Linked DNA regions of Mus musculus. The protein of the gene in region 6 purifies or fractionates together with the protein of the main gene of each other region. This does not show direct contact. Links are inferred from orthologs where the notes say so. Each region holds a gene or a part of one and is shown on either strand. Other genes may lie near its edges.

The links.
Region 1: the proteins of Sin3a (region 6) and Brms1l purify together in Homo sapiens (affinity purification with mass spectrometry; 3 studies listed by BioGRID, with this or other methods). This does not show direct contact. The link is inferred for Mus musculus from reciprocal best matches to the Homo sapiens genes SIN3A and BRMS1L.
Region 2: the proteins of Sin3a (region 6) and Sap130 purify together in Homo sapiens (affinity purification with mass spectrometry; 4 studies listed by BioGRID, with this or other methods). This does not show direct contact. The link is inferred for Mus musculus from reciprocal best matches to the Homo sapiens genes SIN3A and SAP130.
Region 3: the proteins of Sin3a (region 6) and Nr0b2 purify together in Homo sapiens (affinity purification with western blotting; 3 studies listed by BioGRID). This does not show direct contact. The link is inferred for Mus musculus from reciprocal best matches to the Homo sapiens genes SIN3A and NR0B2.
Region 4: the proteins of Sin3a (region 6) and Hdac4 purify together in Homo sapiens (affinity purification with western blotting; 3 studies listed by BioGRID and IntAct, with this or other methods). This does not show direct contact. The link is inferred for Mus musculus from reciprocal best matches to the Homo sapiens genes SIN3A and HDAC4.
Region 5: the proteins of Sin3a (region 6) and Arid4a purify together in Homo sapiens (affinity purification with western blotting; 6 studies listed by BioGRID and IntAct, with this or other methods). This does not show direct contact. The link is inferred for Mus musculus from reciprocal best matches to the Homo sapiens genes SIN3A and ARID4A.
Region 7: the proteins of Sin3a (region 6) and Brms1 purify together in Homo sapiens (affinity purification with western blotting; 4 studies listed by BioGRID and IntAct, with this or other methods). This does not show direct contact. The link is inferred for Mus musculus from reciprocal best matches to the Homo sapiens genes SIN3A and BRMS1.

The regions. Positions count from the first base shown.
Region 1 is NC_000078.6:55,842,866-55,846,365, reverse strand, and holds part of Brms1l (breast cancer metastasis-suppressor 1-like protein), read right to left. Parts: intron 1,971-3,500; coding exon 1,843-1,970; intron 1,083-1,842; coding exon 1,003-1,082; intron 1-1,002. UniProt on the Homo sapiens protein: Involved in the histone deacetylase (HDAC1)-dependent transcriptional repression activity. When overexpressed in lung cancer cell line that lacks p53/TP53 expression, inhibits cell growth.
Region 2 is NC_000084.6:31,647,868-31,651,367, reverse strand, and holds part of Sap130 (histone deacetylase complex subunit SAP130), read right to left. Parts: intron 3,235-3,500; coding exon 3,076-3,234; intron 1,824-3,075; coding exon 1,712-1,823; intron 878-1,711; coding exon 753-877; intron 1-752. UniProt on the Homo sapiens protein: Acts as a transcriptional repressor. May function in the assembly and/or enzymatic activity of the mSin3A corepressor complex or in mediating interactions between the complex and other regulatory complexes.
Region 3 is NC_000070.6:133,552,073-133,556,175, reverse strand, and holds the start of Nr0b2 (nuclear receptor subfamily 0 group B member 2), read right to left. Parts: upstream 2,801-4,103; 5' UTR 2,752-2,800; coding exon 2,211-2,751; intron 182-2,210; coding exon 1-181. UniProt on the Homo sapiens protein: Transcriptional regulator that acts as a negative regulator of receptor-dependent signaling pathways. Specifically inhibits transactivation of the nuclear receptor with which it interacts.
Region 4 is NC_000067.6:91,967,342-91,970,841, reverse strand, and holds part of Hdac4 (histone deacetylase 4), read left to right. Parts: intron 1-2,383; coding exon 2,384-2,489; coding exon of another isoform or gene 2,490-2,504; intron 2,505-3,500. UniProt on the Homo sapiens protein: Responsible for the deacetylation of lysine residues on the N-terminal part of the core histones (H2A, H2B, H3 and H4).
Region 5 is NC_000078.6:71,060,967-71,064,466, reverse strand, and holds part of Arid4a (AT-rich interactive domain-containing protein 4A), read right to left. Parts: intron 3,186-3,500; coding exon 3,091-3,185; intron 2,937-3,090; coding exon 2,839-2,936; intron 1,375-2,838; coding exon 1,143-1,374; intron 1-1,142.
Region 6 is NC_000075.6:57,075,060-57,079,175, forward strand, and holds the start of Sin3a (paired amphipathic helix protein Sin3a), read left to right. Parts: upstream 1-1,316; 5' UTR 1,317-1,571; intron 1,572-4,116. UniProt on the Homo sapiens protein: Acts as a transcriptional repressor. Corepressor for REST. Interacts with MXI1 to repress MYC responsive genes and antagonize MYC oncogenic activities. Also interacts with MXD1-MAX heterodimers to repress transcription by tethering SIN3A to DNA.
Region 7 is NC_000085.6:5,039,927-5,044,162, reverse strand, and holds the start of Brms1 (breast cancer metastasis-suppressor 1 homolog), read right to left. Parts: upstream 2,801-4,236; 5' UTR 2,673-2,800; exon of another isoform or gene 2,552-2,672; intron 1-2,551. Other genes in the region: B4gat1 (beta-1,4-glucuronyltransferase 1), read right to left, coding at 3,665-3,856, 4,131-4,236. UniProt on the Homo sapiens protein: Transcriptional repressor. Down-regulates transcription activation by NF-kappa-B by promoting the deacetylation of RELA at 'Lys-310'. Promotes HDAC1 binding to promoter regions.

The DNA.
Region 1 (3,500 bases), on a different chromosome or scaffold from region 6:
AGAAAGAAAGAAAGAAAGAAAGAAAGAAAGAAAGAAAGAAAGAAAGAAAGGAGAGAAAGAAAGATCTCCATTGCTTTTATACCTATTCAAATATGGACTATTAAAATAAAGAGGGTTTGAGGCTGGTTCGGTGGTTAAAAGCACATGCTGTTCTTGCAAAAGACCCAGGTTAGATCCCCAGCACCCACATGGTAGCTCACAACTGTCTGGAACATCAGTTCAAGAGGATCCAATGCCCTCTTCCAGCTTCTGAGGGTACCAGGCACACATAGGTACACAGACACACACACATACATTCAGGCAAAACACACATACACATAAAATAATAAAGTACTTTTAAATCAAAATTAGGGGTCATTCTAGAACTTGTCCCCTTACTTGGCCCTGTCTCAGCCTTTTAAGCTATCTAAATCTTACAAAAAGTTATTCGCACAATTAGCATGATGCTCTTAAACACAATGAACACAACGTAAAGAAGCCACACTTATATTTCCCTCACATAGAAAATACTGCCTTAACATGTAGAAGCCAGTCCAGACAGTCAGAACTTAACTCTATAGCCCAATGTTCTAGCTGCACCATTTTAGCCTAAAGTTCTATGTGGTGTGATTACACTATAACCTCAGTTGTCTGGTGGCATGGTCACTCTCTAGCTCTCTAAGGAAACAGCACAGACAATGGCTGCAGCTCAGAGGTGCAGCACTTGCCTGCTGCCAATCATACACAGGACTCTAGAATCAGTTCCTAGCACTATAAATGTAAATAGATTTTTAAAAAGTAACAGTTGCAAACCTTCTGAAACTATCACACTTTCTTGTGTTCCTTTGAGTCCTGTTTCCAGTACAGCAACCAGTAGAACTGCACTTTTTAAATTCATCCAAGATATGAGCTAAAGTATTACTGAATTTTGCATTGCTTATTTTATTTACTTTTTAAGCCACTCTATTCAGAAAAGACTTGAAGAGCTACAATTAGCTTGAACGTTAAACAGAATGACAGTACCTCACAATGCTGTCGAGAAGCCTGGATTTCACATTCGTACTTGTTCTTCACAGACTCTAAGCAGAGTTCTCTATAGATTCCTGAAACCAAGCACAATCATTCTGCGGTTATCCTGGCAACAGTCAGTCATCACAACTTCCCTACAGTCTGCCGACACCACAGTTTATAAGATGACTCAATAAGAAAGTCACAAATGATTCTTACTCTATCCTAAAAAAAAAAGAAAGAAAACCAAAACATGTATCAAAGAAGAAGAAATTAAGAGTTCATGAGCTAAGAAACCATGGCTACTTTTTGATCTACCTCATATTCCCAAGAGACCTCCTAAATGTTCACTTGAGAATGAGCAAAACAAACAGCACAATCCTTTTCTCAGATTTCTAACAGAAAGGGAGACAGACAGAAATAACTCTTGGTTTCATCATTCACACATAATAGAAGCAAGAAATGGATACTTTATTCAGTCAAAATCACTGTATCCCAACTATCCTCTTCAGAGTCCAAGGCTTTGCAAGGAGCACTAACTATGTAAACGCACAGAACGAGGTGGATCACATTGAGTGTGCTCCCGAGAGGCAGATGCCCAAGTGCATCTTACAGGGGACAAGGCAGCATAGGGAGCGTGCCCATACACATGTGCCTCACAGACTTGGAGAGCAGTTACCTCTAGATGTGTAGACTCAACGCCAAGCCACAGGCAGCCTAGGGATGTAAGCCGTTGTCTGTTATGTCATGGCAGGTGGCAGCTACCTGAGCCTATGCCATGTATAACATATTCACCCATACAATGCCACAAAATCAAAAGTGTCACAAAGGACACAAAATGTCATCCATGCTCACCTGCTACCTTTGTGCGAATCTGCATGTTTTCTTGTAAGGTGGCCAGTGGTTCCAAATACTCTGGTGCTTTTCCAGCTATGACTTCTTGGAGTTTTGCATCCACCTGACTCAACCGCTCTTTATAAAGTCTCAACAAAGCAAAAATAAAGACGTCAATTAAAACTTTACAACAAAGTCAAGCAACTCCTGTGCATCACTGCTTCCTAACAGAGCTCATGTTCCAATAAACTAGCAGATGGATTCTTGCCCTGACTGCAGTCAGAAAACTCACTTATGTACATCATAATATTAAACAGATACCAGTCCAGGGTTTGTTAGTTTTTTTAATCGGCATCACTCTTTAGTCACAACAAAAAAAAAATGCAATGAAAATTCAGGCCCAGTGGCCTTCGTCTGTTGTCTAAAGCTACTTGGGCAGAGGGGAGGGAGGCAAGAAGATGGAGTGGACACAACGAGAACAATCTCAAGAAAATAAAAGTGAAAAAAAAAAAAGAACTTGAAATGACTACTTTGGCACTCCCAACTTTTATTTAATTGAACAATAATAAATCAATTCTAAAAGAAAAAGTTATTTAAATATTAGATTAAAAGAAACGAGAAAATCACTTCTAATAATTTGGTTGTTCACCATCTTACCTGAAAAGACACAGTACCGTATTTAACCTGTTTAATTTTTACTTGCTTCTTGTTTCCGGGATTTTGAGACAGATCTCACTATATTATCCAATCTAGTCTAAAACTCACTATGCAGTCCAGGTTAGTCTCCGACTCACGGAGGTCCTGCCTCAGCCTCCTGAGTGCTGAGATTACAAGTGAGAATAACCACCTTTAACTCCATCTCCAGGAAATCCAACTTCCGACCTCTATGGGCACCTGCGCTCTTGTGTGTACACACTCATCTCCAGTCAAACACCCGATCACACATAGACATAATTTAAAATTACTTAAAAACATAAAAAACACAAATCTGCTACCTATTTGCCAGAATGATACTGGATGAACTCTCAATGTTGCCCAAATGAACTCAAACTAATTTTAAAGTTAGCAATAGGGCTGGAGAGATAGCACAGTGGTGAAGAGCACTAACTGCTTTTTCAGAGGTCCTGAGTTCAATTCCCAGCAACCACATGGTGGCTCACAACTCTGTAATGGGATCTGATGCACTCTTCTGTTGTGCCTGAAGACAGCGACAGCGTACTCACATACATGAAATAAATGAATCTTTTTAAAAAAATTACCAATAGAAATCTTTTTTTTTTTAAGGGTCTTGCTCTGTGGTCTAGGTTGACCTAGAGTAGCCAACTCTTCTGCTTCTGCCTCTCAAGGGATGAAATTACAAACATGACACCAAATATGCTACAATAATGTTAACCTCTAGAATAAAAAAATATGTTTCAAAGTCAAAATTATAAACTTTATATTTTTAATGTTATACTAGCAGAAATAATACTCATATATTTATCTCTAACACCAATGAAAGTTTAGAGAAGAAGCAGCATAAGCAGAATTAATATAGTAAACAAATCCGTCCTTCTTGCCTGCTAATTCTACTGAATCTATTCTATCTCCTCTCAAACCTTGGAGGCCTTCAATGAGCATGATGGTGGGCACTTGCAATCCCAGAACTCAAGAAGCGGAGGCAGTAGAAGAATGTCACC
Region 2 (3,500 bases), on a different chromosome or scaffold from region 6:
GCATCATGCCTGCATGAATAACTGTGTAGTACAGGCACACAGGACATGTGGCGGTCAGGAGAGGGCACTGGAACCCCTGGAACTCAAGTTACAGATGGTTGTTAGCCATCATGTGGGTACTGAGAATGGACCTGGATCCTCTGAAAGAACAACTATTGCTCTTTAACTCCTGAGCCATCTCTTCTGAACCTGCATCTCCTTCTGACACAGCACAATTCTATTAGGACTGAGATTACAGAATTCCTTGAATAAAAATAAACAAGGTTCAAGTGTAGCTCAGCTACTAGAGTGCTTGCCTGGCATGAATAGGCCTTGGGTTTGATTGTCACTATGGAAGAAGGGGTGAGTGTGTGTGGTGGGGGGATAAGAGGGGGACTACCAGATGTATTTAGTAGTTGAAAGTTACCTGAAAAGGGAGACATTTATTTCCATGCATAAAATGTACATAAGCCTTTTTGGTGCTCACAAAGCTCTCTCTAAATTACAATCCTCCTCTATCTTAGCTAGCCTTTCTCAGCACTGTAGCCACCACTGTCGTCCTTGCTCCTGTTCATTCTCTACACCAGTTGTCTTGTCACTTTTCCATCAAACTTTTAATGCCCTGTTCTACACTTGCACCACTCAAAGGGCATCCTCCAAGCTTTGCAAAGAGAAGTAACTGAGCTTATGGAGCCCCTCAGTGTACGGCAGAGCGCACGGCTATGGTAGCGCACAGAAGCCAGACTGGCTGAGCATCCCTGACCCCAACATGCCTGGATTGGCTGGTGAATGAGGTGCTGTACTGCTGGCTGCGCCGTAGCAGCATTTGGCAGCTGTGAAGTTGGCCTCAGGACTGTAGTTACTTTAGAGCTGGACATCACAGCGGCAGCAGCTGCACCTGAAAAGACAAAACTGATCAGCATGGCTTATAGAAGCATTACTTAATAAAGCTAAGTATGCTCTCTAGGAAAGGCAGAACTGCCAAGCCTGGGCAGCATGTGGGTCTCCCGCTCCAGTACACTGCCTACACTTCTTATTTTATTATGAAGAAAAGTAAGAAAATGTGTATTCAAGGACTATGTGTTTTGTCTTTAAATTTGTTTATATGCATCTTAGGAGGTATGCCATTGATATGGTGTGCTGCTACAAGAGCAGCACAGTATGGTACCACTGCCTAGACTGTGTCTAAACCAGAAACACATTAGTCACTAGCAATGTGTCAGCTTCTCATGCTGCCTGTGTGGCCTTAGTGCCGATATCTACACTGTACAAAGGCAAATAGTGTCTTAGCAGTTCTATTAAGGTAGCCTGTGTGTGATTCCACAGACTCCTAAGAGTCAATGAATGACTGCTGGAGTTCCAGGCACAGCAGGGCTGCACTGCAAAACCATGTCACAAACACAACACAACACAAGCAGCCAGGGGTGGTGTTGTGTACCTGCAATCGGCATTTAGGAGGAAACTACAGGAGGAGCACAAGTATGAGACCAGCCAGGGTGACTTAGGAAGACGGCCTAAAAATGACAACAACAAACTCTCTTCCTTAGATGTGCACAGACGTGTTCTAATGTAACTGTAGGAGGCACATAACACATCATGTTGAAAGTTGGTACTGCTGTGGGTTCATCTCCACTGCCCTGTAACTTTAGGTTGACTGTGCAAAGTCGGTCATCCTGTCCTCCAGTCAGAGTCTGTCTGCTACTGTATTTGGAGCACAATGTGCAGTTTTTACCTCGAGGTAAGTGGGAAGCTCCAATGTGAAGTGGGGGCCCGGGAGCGTTGCTGCGGATTATGGACATCTGCACATTTGTGGTCATAATGTGATGCAGGTTACTGGGATGCCCCTGGAAGAAACAGCAGAGAAGACAATCTTCATGAGGATGGCCTTAGCTATTGCCTACAGAAAGTCAGTTTGCTTCAAACTGGGTCAGGCTGTTCTTGAAAACAACAACAACAACAACAACAACAACAACAACAAGAATTCCCCCTTCCTTTTTGCTGTTTGGGGGGATTTCCAGGGCAAATCATGTATAATTCAAGGGCTGTACACTGATGTGCAGTCTTGAGTCAGGTCATTCCTTTCGGACTCTGAGTATTGTCTACAGCTATACTACTCTACACATGCCCAATCTCCATTGGGAGTATCCCAGGGAAAGGGGCTCCATGAGCCTTTTCATCTGCTGTGTTTTAATAATGGCCCCTGTAAATGAGCAGGTCCGAAGTGAGCATACTCCAATAGCCCCAACAAGTTACCAGACCCCAGTGCCACATGAGACCTCCGACTATTTCTTTTTAGTAACTCGAATCTGCACCAATCTTTTACACTTGTTCTCCCTTTCCTGGTCACAGGCTTATTTACCCCACCACTCTATTTTTTTAAAAAATAGATCTTTATATCCATTATTCTTTATGCTACTTAAGATTTCTGAATACATGTCAGTTAACGCCTCTAATGGCTTCAGCTCATCCCCTAAGCTTTCCAGCACTCTGATATAAGTACATCGCAGATGACATTGCCAGACTTCTGGCAATTACTTGGCATGATTAGAGAACAAGACGGGGCATGTTTTTTTAATATTAATTTTTCTTGAAAACACAAAGGAAAAGAATTTTGAGATTTAGTTTCTTCACAAGTGTTATAATTCAAAGTATTTAATAAATCAACTATACATAATGGAATACAATTAAAATTTCAAGTTAAAACTGGAGCCTTTACTGTAAATGCTCACAATTAGAGGGCAGAGAGAACCTGCTACACATCTACTATCCTCCAAGAAAACCTAGGATGCTTCCAGGTTTTCTGAGGTTGAGGTAGTCTCGCCTCCTCAGAACCGTCTCCCTCTAGTCAAGCACATGTCGACTGTAACCCTTCTAGGACAAAGACTGCTCATGGCTCTCTGTGATTTTACACTGAAGGTCGTATGGTAGCTGGCATAGGATGTGCTCAGCAGATACAGCCTAACCACTAAGCAGCCTGGGTGTTACTCCTTTTGATTTCAGCACTATTATCTCCCTATGGGTATCTGCAACCACTCAATTATTCAGGACACGGCCTAATGCACTTAGAAAACGAACAAGTCAGGAGGAGAGAATAACCTGTTGTCCACTGATTGTTGCCACGGGAATGGCTGAAGCTTGAGGGATGCTGCTCTCCATGGTAACAGTAACCTGCCCGGGAACTTTCGGGGGAAGTGACATGGTAGAAGGGGGAGCAGGCGCAATGGGACGGCTAGGCATGGTAGGCTTCGGGGGCGGCTGCAAATAGAAAACCACAGGACACATGTCAATAGCTTTGCTCTAGCCGTGCATCTTACTTTAACAGCACACAAGTCCAGTCTGCAGAGTGACATACAAAATGAGACGGGTAGCATAAGGCTCACCTGTCGGCATAGCTCTTCTGCAAAACTACTGGTGTTTTATAGTATAGAGGACGAAATGTACAAACGAGCTAAACATTTTACTCAGAGACACACAGTACAAAGCAGACCCGGGAATAAAGCCTGGATCTGTACTGCTCACAC
Region 3 (4,103 bases), on a different chromosome or scaffold from region 6:
CGGAAGAAGAGATCTACCAGAAGGGTGCCTGGAATGTTCTTGAGGGTAGAGGCCATGAGGAGGATTCGGGCCAGGCGGCCTTGGCTGGCTGGGTACCAGGGCTCCAAGACTTCACACAGTGCCCAGTGAGCCTCCTGTTGCAGGTGTGCGATGTGGCAGGAGGCACGGAGGCCTGGCACATCTGTGGCAGAGAAGGTGAAGAGAGCTGCTAAGTGGCTAGGTCTGTGGAGGCTAGCACAGGGTGTGAGGGTGTCAGCAGTTCCCTCCCCTCTAGCACTGAGGCGATCCTTCACTAATGAGTTACATGCATTGGCTCACTCTACCACCTTGGAGCGTCCACCCACTGCCACCTTCATTATTTACCATTTTATCCATCCATCCATCCATCCATCCATCCACTTATAGAGAGGACACAGATAATGAGGATATCATAACTAAGACACATGGGCTGGAGAGAAGGCTCAGTGGCTAAGAGGTTCTTTTGCTCAGAACCTGGGTTCAGCTCCCAGCACCCACATCGTGGTTTACAACTCCCTATAACTTCAGTTCCAGAGGATCTGACACCCTCTTCTGACATCTTTGTGACATCTTCCACACAGATGATGCATACAAAATACAAGTATGTGTGTATGTATGTGTGCATGTATGTAGGAACTCATAGACATAAAATAATTTACAAAGAATTTTTTTCTCGTTCTTTTTTTAAAATGATTTTTAAAAAAGATTTATTTATTCATTATATGTAAGTACACTGTAGCTGTCTTCAGACATCCCAGAAGAGGGCATCAGGTCCCATTACAGATGATTGTGAGCCACCATGTGGTTGCTGGGAATTGAACTCAGGACCTCTGGAAGAGCAATTAATGCTCTTAACCGCTGAGTCATCTCTTCAGCCCTATTTTTCCTCTTCTTTTTCTTTTCTTTTCTTTTCTTTTCTTTTCTTTTCTTTTCTTTTCTTTTCTTTTCTTTCCTTCCTTTCCTTTCCCTTTCTTTCTTTCTTTCTTTCTTTCTTTCTTTCTTTCTTTCTTTCTTTCTTTCTTTCTTTCTTTCTTTCTTTCTTTCTTTCTTCTTTTCTTTTCTTTTCTTTCTTTTTTTTGAGACAGAGTTTCTCTGTGTAGCCCTGTCTGTCCTGGAACTAGTTCTCTGGCTGGCCTTGAACTCAGAGATCTGAGTGCCTCTGCCTACCAATGCTGGAATTAAAGGTATGTGTTATCATCACTTGGCTAAATAAATCTTAAAACCAAAAACCAAGCCAAACTAAAATAAAACAAAGCAAAAACTCAGACAAAACAAAACAAAAAACAACCAAGCAACCAACAAACAAAACCAGCACCAAGCTGCCTGGGTTTGAACGTCGGGGCTGCCCCTTATTAGCTGAGTGACCTTGGATATGCAGTTTAATCTTTCTGAGTGACCTTTGTTAAATGAGTACTTTAATCTTTGTGCTTCCGTTTCTTCATCTGTCCAGTGGGGCTAATGACAGCGCCTGTTACCCACACTTGTTATGAGGTTTAACCAAACTGATATTTTAAAAAGCCCTTTGAGTGAGTCCTACCATATGGTGAATGCAACGGGGCTATGGGACTGCTACTGCTATGTGACATGTTTTAACTATCAAGGCCTGTCTCTTGTCTTCCTCAAAGCTATGAGGACTATTCTCCCATCCCAGGCCAACTTGGTCTATATAGTGAGTTCTAGGCTACCCAGAGCGACATGGTGAGACTCTCTCTCAGTTCTCCCCATCACTCCACCTCTCTTCTCCTGGCTTGACTTCACAAGGAGTGCCCCACTCCCAAACCCTCTTTCTCCTTCTGAGTGGCCTCTCTGAACCCTTTAGAGCCTCACTATGTAGCCTGACCCTGAAGATATGGCTATCATGCAGCTGTGTCTGCTGCCACCCCCTCTGGCACCCTCTCTACCCACCCACTCTCCCTAAGATTCAAGCCACATTTCTCAGGCACGGTGGCAAAGAGCAGTCTCTGCACTAGCTTGGCCTGCCTTCTGCCTTCCCAGCCCTCCTCTGCCTCTGCCTTGCTATGTGGCCTTCGGATAGTTGCTTAACCTCTTTGTGCCTCTCCTATGAGCCATCTATTTGAGGCTCACAAGGACCCAATGATACAATGGGTGTCAAGCCCCAAGAAAGCACTTTCCTTGGATGGGCCCCATCCCCTCCCACCTTGACCACCATCCAGGAGTGTCTGGAAGCTCACCTGGGTTGAAGAGGATCGTGCCCTTCAGGTACGCATACTCCTTGGGACCCAGCTCAAGGCTCCAGAAAGACTCCAGGCAGCGCTGCAGCCACTGAACTGCAGCCAGTGAGGGTTGTGGCCGGTCTGATGGCTGGGCACCCTGGGTACCGCTGCTGGCTTCCTCTAGCAGGATCTTCTTAAGTATACTGGGCACCGGAGCCTCAGCCACCTCGAAGGTCACAGCATCCTGGGCCAACCCCAGCAGGAAGAGAGGGCCCCAGCAGCACTCTAGCAGCCGCCGCTGATCCTCATGGGGCAGGTGGCAGAAGGACGGCAGGTTCCTGAGGAAGGCTACTGTCTTGGCTAGGACATCCAAGGCCTCCCTGCAGGTGCGGTGCGGAGCACACAGACGCACAGGCCGCTGCTGCTGGCACAGGCAGTGGCTGTGAGATGCAGGTGCAACGGGCCTGGTCCTGGGGCTGGGGCTCAGAAGTGCATACAGAATAGTCGGACGACCTGCAGAGCCCTGGCATGGGCAGACCCCTGACTGGCCGGAGCTCATGGTTAGTATCTTGTTCCTGTTTCTTCCCAGCTATCTGGCCCTCTCTCTCTCTCTCTCTACTGTGAGTGCTATTTATATCCTTGATGGGCGGGAAGGGGACTGGCCAAACAACCTTGACTCCAGAAGTCATGTTCATTGAAAGGAAAAAAAAAAAAAAAACCATACACACACACAATGCATACACGCTGACCCTGGCAGGACTGATGGGGAAGTGGTGGGGGAGGGGCACTGGAAGCTCCACGTGGCCTTGCTATCACTTTAGTCAATGAAGTGGCCATTGCAGGGCACAGGGCCACCTGCCCACTGCCTGGATGCCCTTTATCGGATGACTCAAGTGCATAAACAGGGTCATTAACCCAGGCTGTACCAGGGCACCAAGGTCTCAGGCGCTCAACCAGCCAGTGCCTGGGACTGCTGTTTCTATTGATGCCCATTTCCATGCACATAAGACCAGGGTTCTCACTGAGCCAAGGAGCCAGCCAGGAAGCTGGCTAAAGCCTTGAATACATGACCCAGCCTGGAAGTGGCTTATCGCTGCTGTGTTTGCCTAACCTTGGGGCTCTCTACTGTTGTTGGTAAGGAACGGGCCACAGGGAAGGGAGCCAGGTCCCTGGGGGACTTTGCTCACTGTACAGTCTCGGAGGCCGCCCTTCTGGGACTCCAATCCAGGGGCCTCTGTGGGAGGAAGATCATTCAGAGCCCCTTCCCCCAAGTCAGCATTCCTATAGCGTCAGAGAGGCTGGGTCTGCCCTTGCAAAACCGTGGGAATACATGGTCGACATTTACTAAGGACCCTGCTTTGTTGTGGGTCCCTTTCCATTGTAACCCTGAAGACTTTCCAATGAGACTACATTCTTACTCTGTGACACTCCAAGAAGTGAAGTGACCTACTCAAAGTCACTCCAACGGGAAGGGATGGAGCACAGGTGTGTCGGACCTCAAAGTAATCTTTGTTTGTCCCCTTGGATCAATTCTGCAGCCAAAGTGTGAGTTTCTCAGAACTGGTGGCTAACAGGCACCCCGCCCCCCCCCCAACCTGGTCTGCAAGTATGGCCCACCTACAGTATGGGTAGAACCACATCTCTGCTAGCACATGGCTCCTCTGTCCTGGACATTTGTCTCTAGTGGTCAGAGGTAAGGGACAAAGGACATGGGAGGGCCTCAGTTGTGTCTGGTTCCTGACCTTGGCTAGCCTTGCCTAGCAGGCTCCCTGTTGCCACAGTCTTGGGCAACCTGGTGCTGTGGATAAAGAGGTCTGGCATCCTCTGCCCTGGCACCTGGTTTAGGCTCCATGCTTCCCAGTTCTAGTGTGTGACTGTCAGCTTGTCTCCAGTGGTCAGGGAGCCTTTATC
Region 4 (3,500 bases), on a different chromosome or scaffold from region 6:
TGTAGTAAGGGAGAGGGTTCAGGAAACATTGCCTATGTATTCTCATCTCCATCCATTCTGTCTGTGGCCTTTTGAGAAGCCTGTCTTGGTTCCTTTTCTATTGCTGTGATAGAATACCTGAGGCTTATACTTTATAAGGCAAAGAGGTCTGTTTACCACCTCACAGTTTTAGTAGCTAGAGGGTCAAAAACAGAGTACCAACATCTAATGAGAATCCCCTGACTAAGCCACAATGTAACAGAGAAGCAGAAAGGAGACAGCTTGCTGTGTGAGCTGGCTTTTCCCTGTGACAGCCTGTTCATTTGAGAACTAGTTTAGGCATACAGGTCTGAGCCATAATAACTTCTAAGAGTGAAGTCCTCATTTCCCAGTCACCTTCTGCCAGATCTGCAGTGCCAGCACTACCATATTGGGTGTCTAGCCTCTTCTCCATGAGCTCTTGAGGGCACATTACCTGCTTCCTTAAGATTCGGTGTCTTCTACAGAAGATGCTCCACTCTGCTCTGTTCTCAAACCCACATGCCAGGCCGACTCCCCTTGGCTGTCCCTGCCTTCTTCCTAGCTACTTCTCAGCTGCTCCCTGTGGCTGACCAGTGTGTACATCCATGCTTATGAAGTGAGGGAAGGATCCAAGACCCAGAGTGAAGACCAGCCCACATGTCCCACCAGCCCTGTCGGCTTCATGAGCCCGTGTTCTCCTGTTGTACGTATCAGAAAGGTGCTCTGGGGATATGCGGAGAACTCTGGACCTTTTCCTCCTCAGAAGGAAAGTTCTGTGAGGCAGTAGCCAGTATAGAAAGTACCCCTCAGCCTGGTTAGCTTTGCCTCTGGTTCCTTTATGCCAGTGTCTCTACCCAAGGAGCTGTGTGGCAGACATTGGGTTGTCACTCTGGGTATTGGTACTCAGTTTCCCCAGGTGCCATGCTTGCCCTCAGCAGGGCTGGCCTACCTGCCAGTGGGTGTAGTGTTCACCCCATACCTGGCCACAGCAGAGCAGGTCACATAGAAAAGGGCTCTGTCCAAGATCATGTCAGGCCTCTCTGGGTTCCTGTGTCATGACACAGCAGGTATGCATTCCCAGGCCCTGTGTACTCAGGAGTCCTAAGCTCTGAGGAGAAAGGATGAATTTGGGTAGGGCAGAGACAGAGACCAGGGTCCTGTGCCTGGGAGCTGTTAGCCTCGGGTGAGCCTTCGTTCCTTTCCCTGTGCCCTAAGGCTGGCATCACCTACCTCCTAGGATTGCCTGCAGTACCTGCCACAGGAACCTATTGTGTCTTCTCCTCAGCTAGAAAAATCCCTTCAGTCCTGCACATCAGTATAGGTTAGGGCACAAGGAACCTCAAAGGCCAGTAAATACCTCATGGAACAGCAGTAATTTCTGTTTTCTCTCAGTGGGCTCACCTGCCTTCCCTTATGCACTGGAGAATTCAGAGTTTAGATTTAGCCCAGGGCTCACATAGCCCTTGACTCCCTTACCACCCGTATTGTACCTCACTTTTGAGGATGTCTCAGTATCAGGCCCACACCTGCTTCTGAAGTCCCTCTGGATAGAAGATGATGAACAGGGGTGCGGTGAGGCCACAGGCACCTGCTTTGGAAGTCTGTCCAGAATGCTATGCCACTGGGGGGCAGCATTGACCAGTGTACACAAGTCGTGAGAAAAATCTCCTCTTTGTTGAGCTGGCCTTGCAGGATGAACTAACCATTCTGTGTGTCCAGATGTTGCCCTGAGGCAGCCTTCAGTTTTCAGCATTCATCAATTTCTTGTCCCCTCCCAGGAAAGTACACGCAGGCAGAAACTGTGAGGCATATTCTCAGCCAAGAAAGCAGGTGGAGCCAGGCAGGGGTAAGAACACAATAGATAAAAGCAGGGTAGCCACATCTCCTCAGTCCTTACTGCCTGTGTGGAGGCACAAGAGCACAGTAGCCAGCTCCTAGTGCAGCACAGAGCACAGTGTGTCACCATGTTCAAAGTGTCCCACAAAGGGCTAGTGTTGAGGGGATAGTAGAGCAGTGGCTTGAGGCCCCTCGAGAAGGAGCTCAGGCAGTTCCCTCACTTTAGATACTTCCTGCTATTTTTAAGCCCAGACCTTGGTTTTAGAAAACAAAGTAATAATTTATTGAAAATTATTGTGTGACAGTAAAGGGGGTCATGTTAAAAAGCAGAATTCTCTTTTTAAATGTTTTTCAAAGCTATGATTAAAATATAAGCCATCTACAATATTTTGAAATGTGATGTTATGTGCTGTTTTGTTTTCCACTTTTCAGAAAGTCAGTAATGATGTGCCTATCCCCATATTCAGGTTGCATCCCTCTGGGGCAGTGGCCTTGTCATGGTAGATAGAGCTGACACAGAAACATGTTCTCCCCTTGTGTCCCACAGTGCATCCGTGGACGCAAGGCCACATTGGAGGAGCTGCAGACAGTGCACTCGGAGGCCCACACACTCCTCTACGGCACAAATCCTCTCAACAGACAGAAACTGGACAGTAAGAAACTTCTAGGTACTCGAGACCTCCTTACATCCCTACCAGGTTTGATCTGCAAGTGATGTTTCCAGCCCTTGGCTCCTGCTGGCCAGGACAGGAAGGTTGGCTCCCACTAAGGCCACGGCGCAGAGAAGCCTAGAGCACAGTCAGCTCTGGAAGCTGTTCAGGAATGCTTACGGCCAGGGGTACCCAGCCCTTGCCCTATTTGCAGTTCCTTTCTAAGACTGCTGAGGGGAAGGCTCAGAGCAGGCCTGGAGAGTCCCTGGCCTGGCCACACTGAAGCCATTGGTTAGACTCGGGAGCTGAGTCTTGCCCCTGTCAGTCAGCACTCCTATGGGCAGGTTCTTGCTAGCAGAGACTCATCCTGCATCAGCAGAAGGGGCTTTATCAAATAAAAGTAGGCTTTGACAAACTGTGGGGCCCTATGTAATCCCAGAGTGCACTCTACATCACCAACCTGGCTTACCCCACAGACTCCAACTGCTCAGAGACAGTGATTTTTGCAGTGATCCAGAACTACAGGCAGTAGAAACAGAGACAGAGCTAGAGTTTCTTCTGGTCTCTTCCTTGAGACTCTGACTTCAGGTCGTGGTCCCACAATGGGGGTTCTTGGGCTGCACTAAGCCTGTCTCCCTCTCACCCTCTCTAGTGGGCCCTTTGAGTGCTTGCCTTCACCCTCAATCAGGAGACAGGGGACCCCTCTGCGGGTACTCAGCCAGTCCAAAGAGTACTGCCAGTGAGGGCTCCCAGCAGACATGTTCTCCAAGCTCTTGATGCTGTGCTCACACAGAGCCCTTCTGTGGTGTAGCCTGGTCTAGTGATAGTACCAAGGAGCAGATGGGAGTGGGATGGGTTTATGCTAGAATTTCAGGGCGCCTCTTGCCAGATTACACGGACCTAGGAGTTAGACCCTGGCAGGCAGCAATGAGGAAGTCTTAAGAGTGAATAGTAGGGCATGGCATGGGGCACTCCACAGAGAACTGGGGTGTGCTCTGCCTCCCTCCTGTCCCT
Region 5 (3,500 bases), on a different chromosome or scaffold from region 6:
TGGTGCTCTTCGCTGGCCTCTGTGGGCTCCAGGTATGCATCTGATGCACGCACGCACATCCAGGCGGGTGTACACTGGCACACATAAGATAAAAATAAAGAATTCACCTTTCCTTTCCATTAAACATGGCCTCACCAACACATAAGATACATAGGAGCTGAAAGCCAGGCACGGTAGTGCATGCCTTTAATCCCCACACTCGAGAGCAGAAGCAAGAAAATGTCTGTGACTTTGAGGCCAGCATGGTCTAGGACAATTAGAGATACATAATAGACAGACCATGTCTTAAAAAAAAAAAAAAAAAAAAGAACGGAAATTCTTGACAGTGTGGCAACCCATAAAATGATAAGTCATGCTATGTAGAGCTCATTGGGCATGGATCAGATAGTGAATGGCAATCCTTCATAAAACCTTAATCAATGAGGAGGAATACAGGGGGCGGAGGCGAGGTAGATGGGAAAATACAAATCAATGTATGCGGAGATAAAGCCGTACAGCACGCACACAGATTGATAGGAAGCGTGGTAGTTTGGGAGCACAGGAATCACCTAGAGGTGATTCATTCAGCTACCTAATGAGCGCTTTCTGGGTGCTGTGCGTCTTTATTCTAGAAGCCTCGGATCTCATCAGTGAGCAAAACCAACACTCAGCCTTGCCTTCATGGGATGCAACTTTAGTACAGAGGGAGGAAAAGAGAGCAAATCAATTCAGACTGAGCAAGTACATCCCAGATAAGAGGAGCGAGAAAGGAGATAGGAAGTAATTAGAAAGGCAGCAACCAGTGCAGGCTTCACTGGGGAGACATCTGAGCAAGAAGAGTACACGGGACTGAGCCAGACAACAGAGCCTTGAACGGACAGTAACAGAGAAGATGAGTGTGCAGGTCTGTGTGTGTGTGTGTGTGCGTGCGTGTGTTTACTGTTTTTGTCTGTTTGGTTTGGTTGTTTAGGACAGGGTTTCAGGCTGTGGCACAGGCTGGCAGGTAGGACTGATAAGCACTGTCTGTAGAAAGAGACTGCTCTAATAACCTTGAAGCAATATTACTAAATACTGGAACATAAACAAATAGTATGCACATACATTAAAATGCCCACAAAAAGTTCAAACTAATGCTTGAAGCAGATAAAGCTACAAGAACTCACTCTTGGCGACTTTAGCTCTGTGTCTTCTCTGTCGCTTTCACTGTTTGAGTCCGTATTCTCCTCGGGCTCACTCTTCACGTCCAGCAAAGGCATTTCCGGGGCCTCTTTTAGAGCTTCGTCCATTGAGTCTTCAAAGTCTTTTTTTTCCTCTTTTACTTTTGGTTCATGGTGGTGAATAGTTCTGAACTGAATATTTGCAGAACGGCAGTACTCCTCAAAACCATAGAGATATCTAAACACACAACATTTCATCTTAAGAAATCTTAGTCTCTGCATTTAATGTGAATATTAGGTAAATGTGTAGTAAAACCTGAGCCATGTTTAAAGTATTCTTGGTATGTTAGTAAATGCCTTTGATACAATCAACAAAAAAATACCATCAACTAAAATATTATCCTGAGAACCAGAGACTAATAAGCCTCCCACAGCACTGCTCTAGAAGGGCAGTTCTCAACTTGTAGGTCGCAACCCCTCTGGGGGTGCCAAACCACCCTTTCACAGGGGTCACATATCAGAGATCACGCATACCAGACATTTACATTATGATTCATAAAAGCAGCAAAATTACAGTTATGAAGTACCAAGGAAAATAATCTCATGGTTGGAGGTCACCACGGCATGAGGAACTGTATTCAAGCTCTAGAAGGGCAGTTCTCAACTTGTAGGTCGCAACCCCTCTGGGGGTGCCAAACCACCCTTTCACAGGGGTCACATATCAGAGATCACGCATACCAGACATTTACATTATGATTCATAAAAGCAGCAAAATTACAGTTATGAAGTACCAAGGAAAATAATCTCATGGTTGGAGGTCACCAGGGCATGAGGAGCTGTATTCAAGGCTCAGAGAGTTAGGAAGGTTGAGAGCCACTGCTCTAGAACATGCACATAACCAAAACTGCAGCCGGTGAGCTGGATCTGGACACGATGTGCACTCCTGCATCGCTGACTTTTAAGAGGAAATCAGCATGACATGGGAAGTGGAGAATGGTAGGCTATGACTCAGGAAACCTTTCAGCCCCACGTGACTGCCAGCTTAAACTTTTAACATTTATGGCCCTTGTTTGCAGTGTTAATTAAAATTACAGGCTGTTCCCTGTAAATGATCATTTGGGGGCAGGAGGGGTACTGTTCAAGACAGTCTCAGTCTCTCTCTCTCTCTCTCTCTCTCTCTCTCTCTCTCTCTCTCTCTCTCTCTCTCTCTCTCTCTCTCAGCTTTTCAAGACAGGTTTCTCTGTGTAGCCCTGGCTGTCCTGAGACTCACTCTGTAGACCAGGCTGGCCTCGAACTCAGAAATCCGCCTGCCAACAGTGTTTCTCGATGTAGGCCTGGCTGTCCTGTAACTCATCGTGGATCTTAAACTCAGAGATCCTCCTGCCTCTGCTTCCCTGAGAGCTGCAATTAAAGGCCTGTGCCATTCATTACTGCCTGGCTTAACTTTTTATTGATTCTTTGTAAACTGCACTTCATACACCCCAGTCCCACTCATCTCCCCATTCCCTCATACCCGCCCTCTGCCCTTGCCACCTCTCCACAAAAAGACAAAAAGAACAAAACCAAAACCAACCAACCAAACAAACAAAAAAAACTGTTGTCAAGGAAGCTGTATTATGTAAGGTCTGCCATACAATATATCCTTTTGCCCAAACTACTTTACTTGCTAATAATTATTCTTTAATGAAGCTGGACAACTTACTTTCTATAAGCAGTTTTTACATTGTAGGAAGCAGCTGAATTCAAAATTGGAATGCCAAGGTCCATATAAATTTGCTTCCATACAGCACCACTGTCAATCTGGAAGATTAAGATTTTGTTAACAACTGTCAAAGGAAATAACTGTTACACTAGCATTCTGTGTTCTTTAAGAAAATGCCTACGTCAGTGCAGCATCAAGCAACCAGACTTCTCAACGCACAAACACATACTTCTAAAGCAACGGTATACTTACATTGCCACATCCCCCCTGATGATAGACCAGTCTAAAGAGTTTGAAGAGATTGAGATCTTTATAGCCCAAAACAGGTGGTTTGTTGATCGGAGTACCTTTTAAATGTCAGAAGGAAAAAAATAAAGCATTTAGTCAAATGAAAAATACTAGTTTGAAAATAAAAATATTGACTTCTAATTCAACAAAATTCATTCACTGAAGGTATACATTTAAAGGTCCTTAAGCCACATAAGCCACAAAGTCTTTCTTCTCTGTGTTCTGTGTGCAGTTTTGTGGGCTGTCTGGAATTTAGGAGTTGCGCATGTCTACAGTCAATCTAGTTGCCTCAATACCAAAGAAATGGCTAAAATTAAATTAAAAATTGACAGTGCTGGTTGTGGCCCAATGCAGTGTGAGACGAAGCAGGAAGG
Region 6 (4,116 bases):
CTTTTTTTTGAAGGGCTGGCCTTAGGGTTCCTAAATTCAGACTATTCCTGCCCTTTCGCGAATGGTTGCGATTACAGCCCTTCCCCTTGAACAGTCATTCTTAAGACCATATCCTTCACACAATCTGGAATTTTTACTCCTTCTGTGAACGTAAGTGCACACTCAAGGTTTATTTATGCAGTGGTCTGTGTGAGGTTTTCAGCCTCTCTTCCTCCAGTTTAAAATGTCCCTGGATCTACCCGACCAATAGAGTATACATTTTCCCTTCATGCTCCGCCTTCCGGAGGCTTGCCCAGGCGGTGACATTTAAAGGCCTCCGCTGGGTTATCTCCGCCCCCTGAGGGCTGCAGATTCTGGTTGTCCCAGTGTCACAGTATTCAGTCAGCCCTAGTGACCAGCTAGTAATATCTGGGCTTTTGGATCAGATTAGAGCTCCAGACCTTAATTTTGGAGTCGGCTTGCTGAAAGTAGCTGCTGAGTGCTCCAGATGGCTGTGTTTAGAAGACCGTGAAAGTGTAAAAATAAGTGGGTAGGAAGGACAAGGCTTTCTGTCATTGTTTTGGTTAATTCTCCACGGCGGGTAATACTACTGCCTTTTCCTTTTCAAATCTCAAAGCCTCGGGTTTCGGCCGCTGAGCTCCCCGCCATCTCCGATCCCGGCCTTGGAACGCTGAGGTTCAGTCTCCAGTGTAAACATTCCACAAAAGGACTGCTAAGGTTCAGCATCCTCGCGCAGGGCGGAATGGTCTCCTTCCTGGACCGGCGCCGTGTCCAATGGCGGCTCCTACCGGCGCCAAGATAGTCCAATCAGATCATTGGGGGCGGGGCCTGGCCCAGCCGTGTAGTGGGTGGAGTCGGCCTCACTTAAGGACATTTTTACCCCACATTGGTTACTTACCTTCCTGGGGCTATGAGAGAAGCAAAGGTAGTCTTCCAATGCAGGGACCGGCGGAGGCGGGAGCCGATTTGTTAGGCCTGTGGCTGGGGCGGTATGGGGAGGGATATGTGAGACTCTCCAATGAGATGTGAAGAGGTACTCCTCTTCCTCCAATAGTATTAGAGCCCGGAGGAGGGATTCGGCAATCAGTCTCCAATAGGCGGGGTTGAGTTAGGGACTCTCCCCGCCAATAGGGGCGTGGAGAAGGTGAGCGGCTCGCTCTCCCCTCCCAGCGAGGGAAGAGGGCGGGAGTAGGTCTTTGCGGCATAGTGATTGGCTAAACCATTGACGGATGGGTAATATATCCCGTGGCGGAGCGAGGTTAAGCCTTCCCTCGGCGGGGCGGGCCGGGAGAGTGGGCGGGATTTCCCGGGTAACAGAGAAGCGGCCGCGGCGGTAGAGGCGGCAGAGACGGTTTCTCCATCTTCCCCCCTCCCCTTCCCCCCTTAGAGTTTCCCTCCCTCCCTCCCTCCTTCCCAGTCTGGGCACCCAGGCCTGTGACCGCTTCGTGGGCGCAAAGGAGGTTGCCAGTCCGCTCTTGCGGGCCTGTGCCCGCGCCGTTCCGGGGCCTCCGTGCTGGGTGCGAGGCTCACGCCGGGAGCGACGCACAGGCTGAGTGGCTGGAGCTTTTGCGGTGAGAGCACGCCGCACCGCGGTCCGCCCAGCAGCTGGGTGGCGGGTAACCCGGGACTGGAGGGCGTGTGTTTTTCGGGGGGGCTGACCTCGGCTTCCCGTGCGTGGCTGTGGGGGGCGGAGCGGAGCCGCACTCAGTGCGGGAGGGGGAGGAGAGCGTAGTCCCGGTGCGCACGGAGGGGCGGGTCCTAGTCCCGCCGATCAGAGGCGGGGCCGGCGCGCGTGCGGTGGTGGAGAAAGGGGCGGGACGGGCTCGCGCTAAAGGCCCGCGGCTGTGACCCCGCCCCTTCTCCCTTATGGGCGGGACCACTGGCTGAACTGCTTTGGGTCCGCGGGGCGTGCGGGACGGGAAGAGGGTCCCGGCGTGTGGCTTTCAGGGCGCGGTGGCGAGGGGGCGTGAAGCCTGTGTTCCCCCGCCTTAGCGGGATCCGGTTGGCCGGAAGGCGCGTCCGGGGCTGTGATGCCACGCCCCTCCCGCCCCGCCCCCTCCGGGATTTCCGCCTCCTTAGCAGTGAAGAGGAGCTGGGGAAAGCCCGCTGTGGCGTCTGGCAGGGGGTCAGGGCTCCGTGTCTGCTCCTCCCAGCATCCCCGTGGGTGGGAGGGCCCCTTGTAGACTGGGAACGGTGGAGGTGTCCGGACTTTATGCTGTGGCTTCTTCATCCATTCTGCTTGGGGCATCGTGGCCCGTAGCTGTAGTCTTCTACTTTGCTTCACACACCATGGATGGCGCCTTAACAGCTAGGGAGAGTAGAAGCGTGGTCAGCTGCTCCTCTTCGTTGTAATTATTGGGACGAGATACTCAGCGTCCTCTCTGGAGTGTCTGCGGTGGGGTGCGGCTGGTGCTGTGCCCTTGCTTCCCCGACAGTGGCCGGTGGGGGAGGGGCAGAGTGATCAGGGACTGGAATTGTGGAGGGCGCCAACCTTCCCTGGAGTTCCCTTGATGTTCAGCTACTGCGCCTTTACGGGTTGATACCTAAAAATTGCTACCATTTTTGGTAGCTTAGGACTTTAAACTCAGTTTACCATTTGAGCTCCTAACAAATCTGAGATTTTATTTCTAGAGAAAGTATTGAATTTATGATTGTAAGTGATGGAGTGAGTTTAGGGCACATAAGCATTGCTTCACCGCTAGGCTATACCCCAAGGCTAAATTTTTTTTTTTTAAGTCAAAGATTTAACTCTCTTTAAGTAAAATACTCTGATTTCTTGACTGATTTCACCTACAGAAGGTTTTGTTACATAAGCTTAGTTTCACAAAGGTAACTTAGAATTTTGTGTTCTCTTTTGGTTTTATGTAACTTCTAGTCCTTAAAGCTTCATGTTGCTCTTTTTAGATACTAAGTAGGTTGAACTGTATGAAACCTATGTGTAGCATAGCTTACCGGCCTGTGTTAGAGAGTTACTTTGGCCATTGTTGGTTTACTGCACATGTAACCATATTAGATGATCTTACTCGAGAACTTCATGAAAAGTGAACATCGAATTCTTAATTTATGTATTGATATCTGAGTATGTGTAAACCACTTTTAAAAAAGATTTATGTTAAAGTGTGTGTGTGTGGGGGGGGGCAGAATAGGATGTTAGATCTCCTGTAGGTGGAGATAACAGGTGGTTCTGAGCCACCTGACATGGAACCCAACTTAGGTCCTTTTACAGGAGCAGTCTGCACTGAGCCATCTCTCTAATCTCATAGTCATGTGTAATTTCTGAAGCTAAATTCTGGATTTGTTCTTTGTTCAGTAGAGGCTGAAAACTGTGCCCTGTGCTGTACTTAATGAAGAGGTTAAATATTCACTTTTCAGCTAAAGAAGTGACACCAGCCATGGTAACAGAATGGAGGTGGAGCCCAAAAGATAAGGACTTGGATGTACTACAGATGGAGTACACTTAAAACGCTAGAAGAGAATTCTTTGGCTTTGAGGAAAGTTTGACCAACCCATAGTTAATTTTACCAATTGAAGTACAGTTTGGAAAATCAGATGACTTAATTCATACCTTTTTTTTTTTTTCTTGTTTTTGAAACAAAGTTTAGCCCTGGGTGTCCTAGAGTTCACCCTGTAGTCTAGGCTGGACTCAGACTAAGAGACCTGCTTGCCTCTGCCCCCCAAACACTAGGATTAAAGGCATGTGCCACCACTGCTGAGCATAATTCTTATGTTTATAGAATGTGTATAATAGGTTGTGTACTGGAGTCACAAGTCCTAGGCTTTGAAATTTCAAGAACCTTGTTTTTGCTTGTTTTTTTTCTCCTATCCATCAGTATACGTTTGTTATTTTTGCATACTAGCATTTAGGAGGCTAAGCAGACTAAGTGGTGAAGAGTGAGTATTACTCTAAGAAAACCTGAGTTCAGTTTTCAGCAACCATGTCAACCTGTATCTCAGGCTCCAAGTACTGACACCTCCGGCCTCTAGGACACAGACACGGGTGCACACCCCCACATCCATACACACAGTGAAAAATAACAGAAATACAGCTTTGAAAAATAAACTGTTAATACTTTTAAATTCAGGCCTTAAGTCGTGTGCATAAGGAAGTTTTTTCTT
Region 7 (4,236 bases), on a different chromosome or scaffold from region 6:
CTCAGATTCCCATAAATGCTGAGCCCCAACTACCACTGAGCAATATCCTAAGCCCCTAGCACTCCTAAGGACGTGAACAGGAAGCACCTTCCTCTGTGGAAGTTCAGATGCGGAAGCTCAGGGTTTTCCTGAGGAAAAACAGGAGGGGCTGGAGAGGCGGCTCAGCAGGTAAGAGGACACTGACTGCTCTTCCGGAGGCCCTGAGTTCAATTCCCAGCAATCACATGGTAGCTCACAACCATCTGTAATGGGATCCAATGCCCTCTTCTGGTGTGTCTGAAGACAGCTACAGTGTTCTCATTTACATAAAATAAACAAATCTTTTAAAAAAAGGAAAAGAAGGCCGGGCGTGGTGGCGCACGCCTTTAATCCCAGCACAGGCAGAGGCAGGCGGATTTCTGAGTTCGAGGTGTTTCTAGAATTCAATTCTAGGTCTCAATTCCCAGTACTGGAGAGAAAAAAAAAACTAAAAAGCAGAGAGAGCCTGATGAGGTTCATATACATAATCCACACGCTGACGCAGGAGGCCATTCTGGGTTAGACAGCGAAGCTCTGTCTTAAAAAGACACAAAAGCAGTATGTCTGGGGGTACAGGTCAGTGGTAGATTGCTGTCTGAAGAGGCACCTAGACTAGATCTCTCTGGAAAAAACAAACACAAATAAAAAAATAAAGCCAAGTGAGGTGGTACAGGCCTGTTATCTTAGCATTCAGGAGGCAGGGGGATTACTACAAATTCAAGCCCAGCCTGATATACAGTTAGTTTCAGGCTAGCAATAGCTGGTGAGGCTGTGTCAAATCCAAATGAGTAGGTAAAAGAATGAATGCAGAAATATGAAACAGCCCCGTTTAGTTAATTTTCTGTAGTTCTCTGGGCCTTGCGCACACTTGCTATTCTGACTTTCACCTCCTCCTCTTTCAGTGTTTGGATACCCAGCACTCACACTAAAACCACTGCGGCAGAATTACGAATCAATTTCCTTGTAGCAAACACCAACATTTGCCAGTGCTTGCCTTAGGTAACCTTTCAGAAACAGTGAACACTAAGCCCCTCCCCTACCTTTCTTCCTACTTATCCAGTATTTACTAAGCACCTAAAGTGTGCCAGGCACCAACAGTCACCGTGGACTGTGGCAGATGCTACAGTATAGCTATGACAGCCTTTGGCCTCGAGGAAATGACAAATTTCTGGGAGAAACGCAAAGAAGCAGACCTTTATAATGGTGTGAAGAGAGTCAAATTAAGGTGTTATGGGAGGTGTCTACACAGGAGCTGGAGCTTGCTGCTACAGTGACAGCTTCCAGAGGGAGACAGACTAGGTGAGGACCAGGCCGCCTGAGATGGAACATTCCAGGCAGAGTGAAAAACAAGTACAAAGACCTAGAAGTGAGAAAAGGGACCAGGGACACAGGCATGTGAACTTCCACTAGACCCAGGCTCCTCTAGCTACATACGGCAAGTTATTTAGGCTTTGTGCAGTCTGACTTTTCAGGCGGAACTGTGAGAAGGGGCCTCTGTTGGAATTCCCAAGGTCAACAAAGGAGGCAGGAGGAGAAACCTCTGCAGAACAGATTGAAAATCCAAGAGTTAGGGTGGAAGGTATTTTCAGAAGGAAGGAGACAACGAGAGATTGATACTGCCAGGCCCCCAGAGAGAATAGGTCATCTTGGATGTAGATGCTTCTAGTTCACACTGGTGTGATTTCTACATCTCTGGTTGCTGCTCTGTAAGTCTTTCCCATGGGGAAGGCATAACTCCTTCCCCCAGGAAGTTTTTTTTTGTTTTGTTTTTTTCGAGACAGGGTTTCTCTGTGTAGCCCTGGCTGTCCTGGAACTCACTCTGTAGACCAGGCTGGCCTCGAACTCAGAAATCTGCCTGCCTCTGCCTCCCTAGTGCTGGGATTAAAGGTTTCTTTGTTTTTTATCTCATATTCTCCCAGTCTCATGTCCGACCACCCAGTGAAATGTGGGTGTTTCATCAGGACAGGGCAGCAGGCTGTCCTACTCGCCCAGTGCAGTGCCAGCTCACTTGATGACTGGGAATTTCTAAACCCAAATTAAACAACATAAACTTTTGCAGTATAGAAACTGGCTTTTCCTTCTTGGCAACCCTACTTGGAGTAACGCTCCTTCACACCCATGCAAGTAATTATAGCGCCGGACCTGCAGGAGAGTTTAGTAGCATTTCCTCCTGCTCTGAAAATCCAGATCTCCAAAACAGCCTCACTGTTCCCCTTTTCACGCCTCAGACCCTCCACACTGGCAATTCCTTTTCACCGTTGTATATACTCTTTCTAAGACGCAGGATGAATTCAAGGATCTCCTTCCTCCAGCTGACTCTGATCCTGACTTCGTTAAATGAAGTCACAACCAATCGTCCCTCCTTAACCCGGGTACAAATAGGGGATATACCATTGCTGAGGGTTGTAGGGAGTGGAAGAGGCACACGGTAAACGCGCGGTGTATAAGCACCTCCACAGCAAACCTCCAGGGAAAGCAGACCCCTCCCTACAGACACAGAGGACAAACTCTGCGGCGCAAGGAACTATCCCACCTCGATCCACCCTCGGAACCGCGGGCTCCTCTCAGGCCAGCGCGCGAGTCGGGCCGGTTAAGTCTCTGCTTTAGCTCCGATCCGGAAAGCCCAACCCAGCGCCGGGCGTGGCCATACGCACCGCAGACACTGGGGCCTCCGGCCTCACGTCCAGGACTCCCGGAGAGCTGTCCGACCCAGGGTGTGAACGCCGCCGCCGTTGATCTCCGGAACAGTGCTGCGCAGGATTCTCTTTCTCCAGGAGGTGTCGACGCTTCCGTGTGCGTCATCAGGAGGCGCCCATTTGTGGCGCTTACAATGGAACCACTGGTGTCCAGGCATGCCGGGATACGGCGGACGGGTCTCCATAGCAACTGGCCCCCAGTAACCCAGGCCTTCAGCCTGTCCTAGCATTGTGGTCGGTGTCCTTGGGTCCACCGCCGTCTAACACGGTGCTCCGGCCCACCACCCCTCGGCTTAGGAGAGTAACAGAGCCAGCTGTGGGTGTGACATTCGTTTATTTACATAATGTCATCCGAAGGCAAATGAGCAGCCCAACCTACTGGAGGGCACAGATCTGGGACTTTAACCTTTATCTCTTTCCTCCTTCAGGGATCTCGGAGGGCGGAGGGCGAAGGCATGAGAGAACGGGAAACGTTCTTAGCACTACATTCTACGTTTTCATCTTTCTTTCCAAAAGCCTCATTTTATTAAACACTCAAGCTTCCCACCTCTAGCCCATTCAAACTTTTTGCTCTGCCGCTATCCACCCAACATGGTTAATAGTAACAATATCATAATAACACTGTAGCAATATTAATAATACTTCACATTTGTACGAAGTTTACAGGATGTTTACACATACAGCGTCTCATCTGAGCCAACAGTTCTGTGAGGTAGGTATTTTCACCTCCCTTTTTACAGACGGCGTAACGGAGGCTCAGAGAAGTAATAGTATTTGCTCAAGGCCACACAGCTAGTTAGTGGTAAAGCTGAGACTTGACTCCCAGCACCCCATAGTCAAGTCCAGTGTTCCAAACCCATAGCTACCTCTGTAAAGTGGAGGCATGTTTCTTACCCCAGTCAGGCCTGGAGCCAGATACTGACAATTCTCAGACCATGGAAGACAAGGACTCAGCATCGGTGGGGAGAGTTGGGGTACCTAGCCTTCAACTCCTGTTTGAACTGGCGGTAAAGGATCTTATTGCGCTGGTTTTCAGCCTCCTTTTGGGGATGGAACTTCAATGCCTCCTTGAATCCCTTATGAACCAGAAAACCTTCGTTCAGCACCTCAAAATTAAACCCTGCCACGTGCAGCTCACAAGCCTGGAAAAGGGGCGGGGGGGGGGGAGGGAGAGATAGAGGAGGGGAGAGGGAAGAGAGGGAGAGAGACAGGGAGAGGTCACAGTGATTTAATCACAATAACTTAATGATATCCCCAGGGCCCACATGATCATCCCTAAAGTTCCACTCCACTGTCCTCAATTCTCCATCATCCAACCACTTTCTTCTTGCTTCACTGCCTCCTTTCCACCAATGGCCACTTCACCCCTGACACGCCTCCAGTCTTAGTCCTACATGCCCTCTCCCTTTTAAGTACCTGGCTGATTCGATTGAAACCATACTGCCGAAAGCGTTCGTCAAATGTGGGCACCTTTCCTCCAGCCACATAAAATGGTTCCCAGGGGTCCCTCCAGGGCACCACG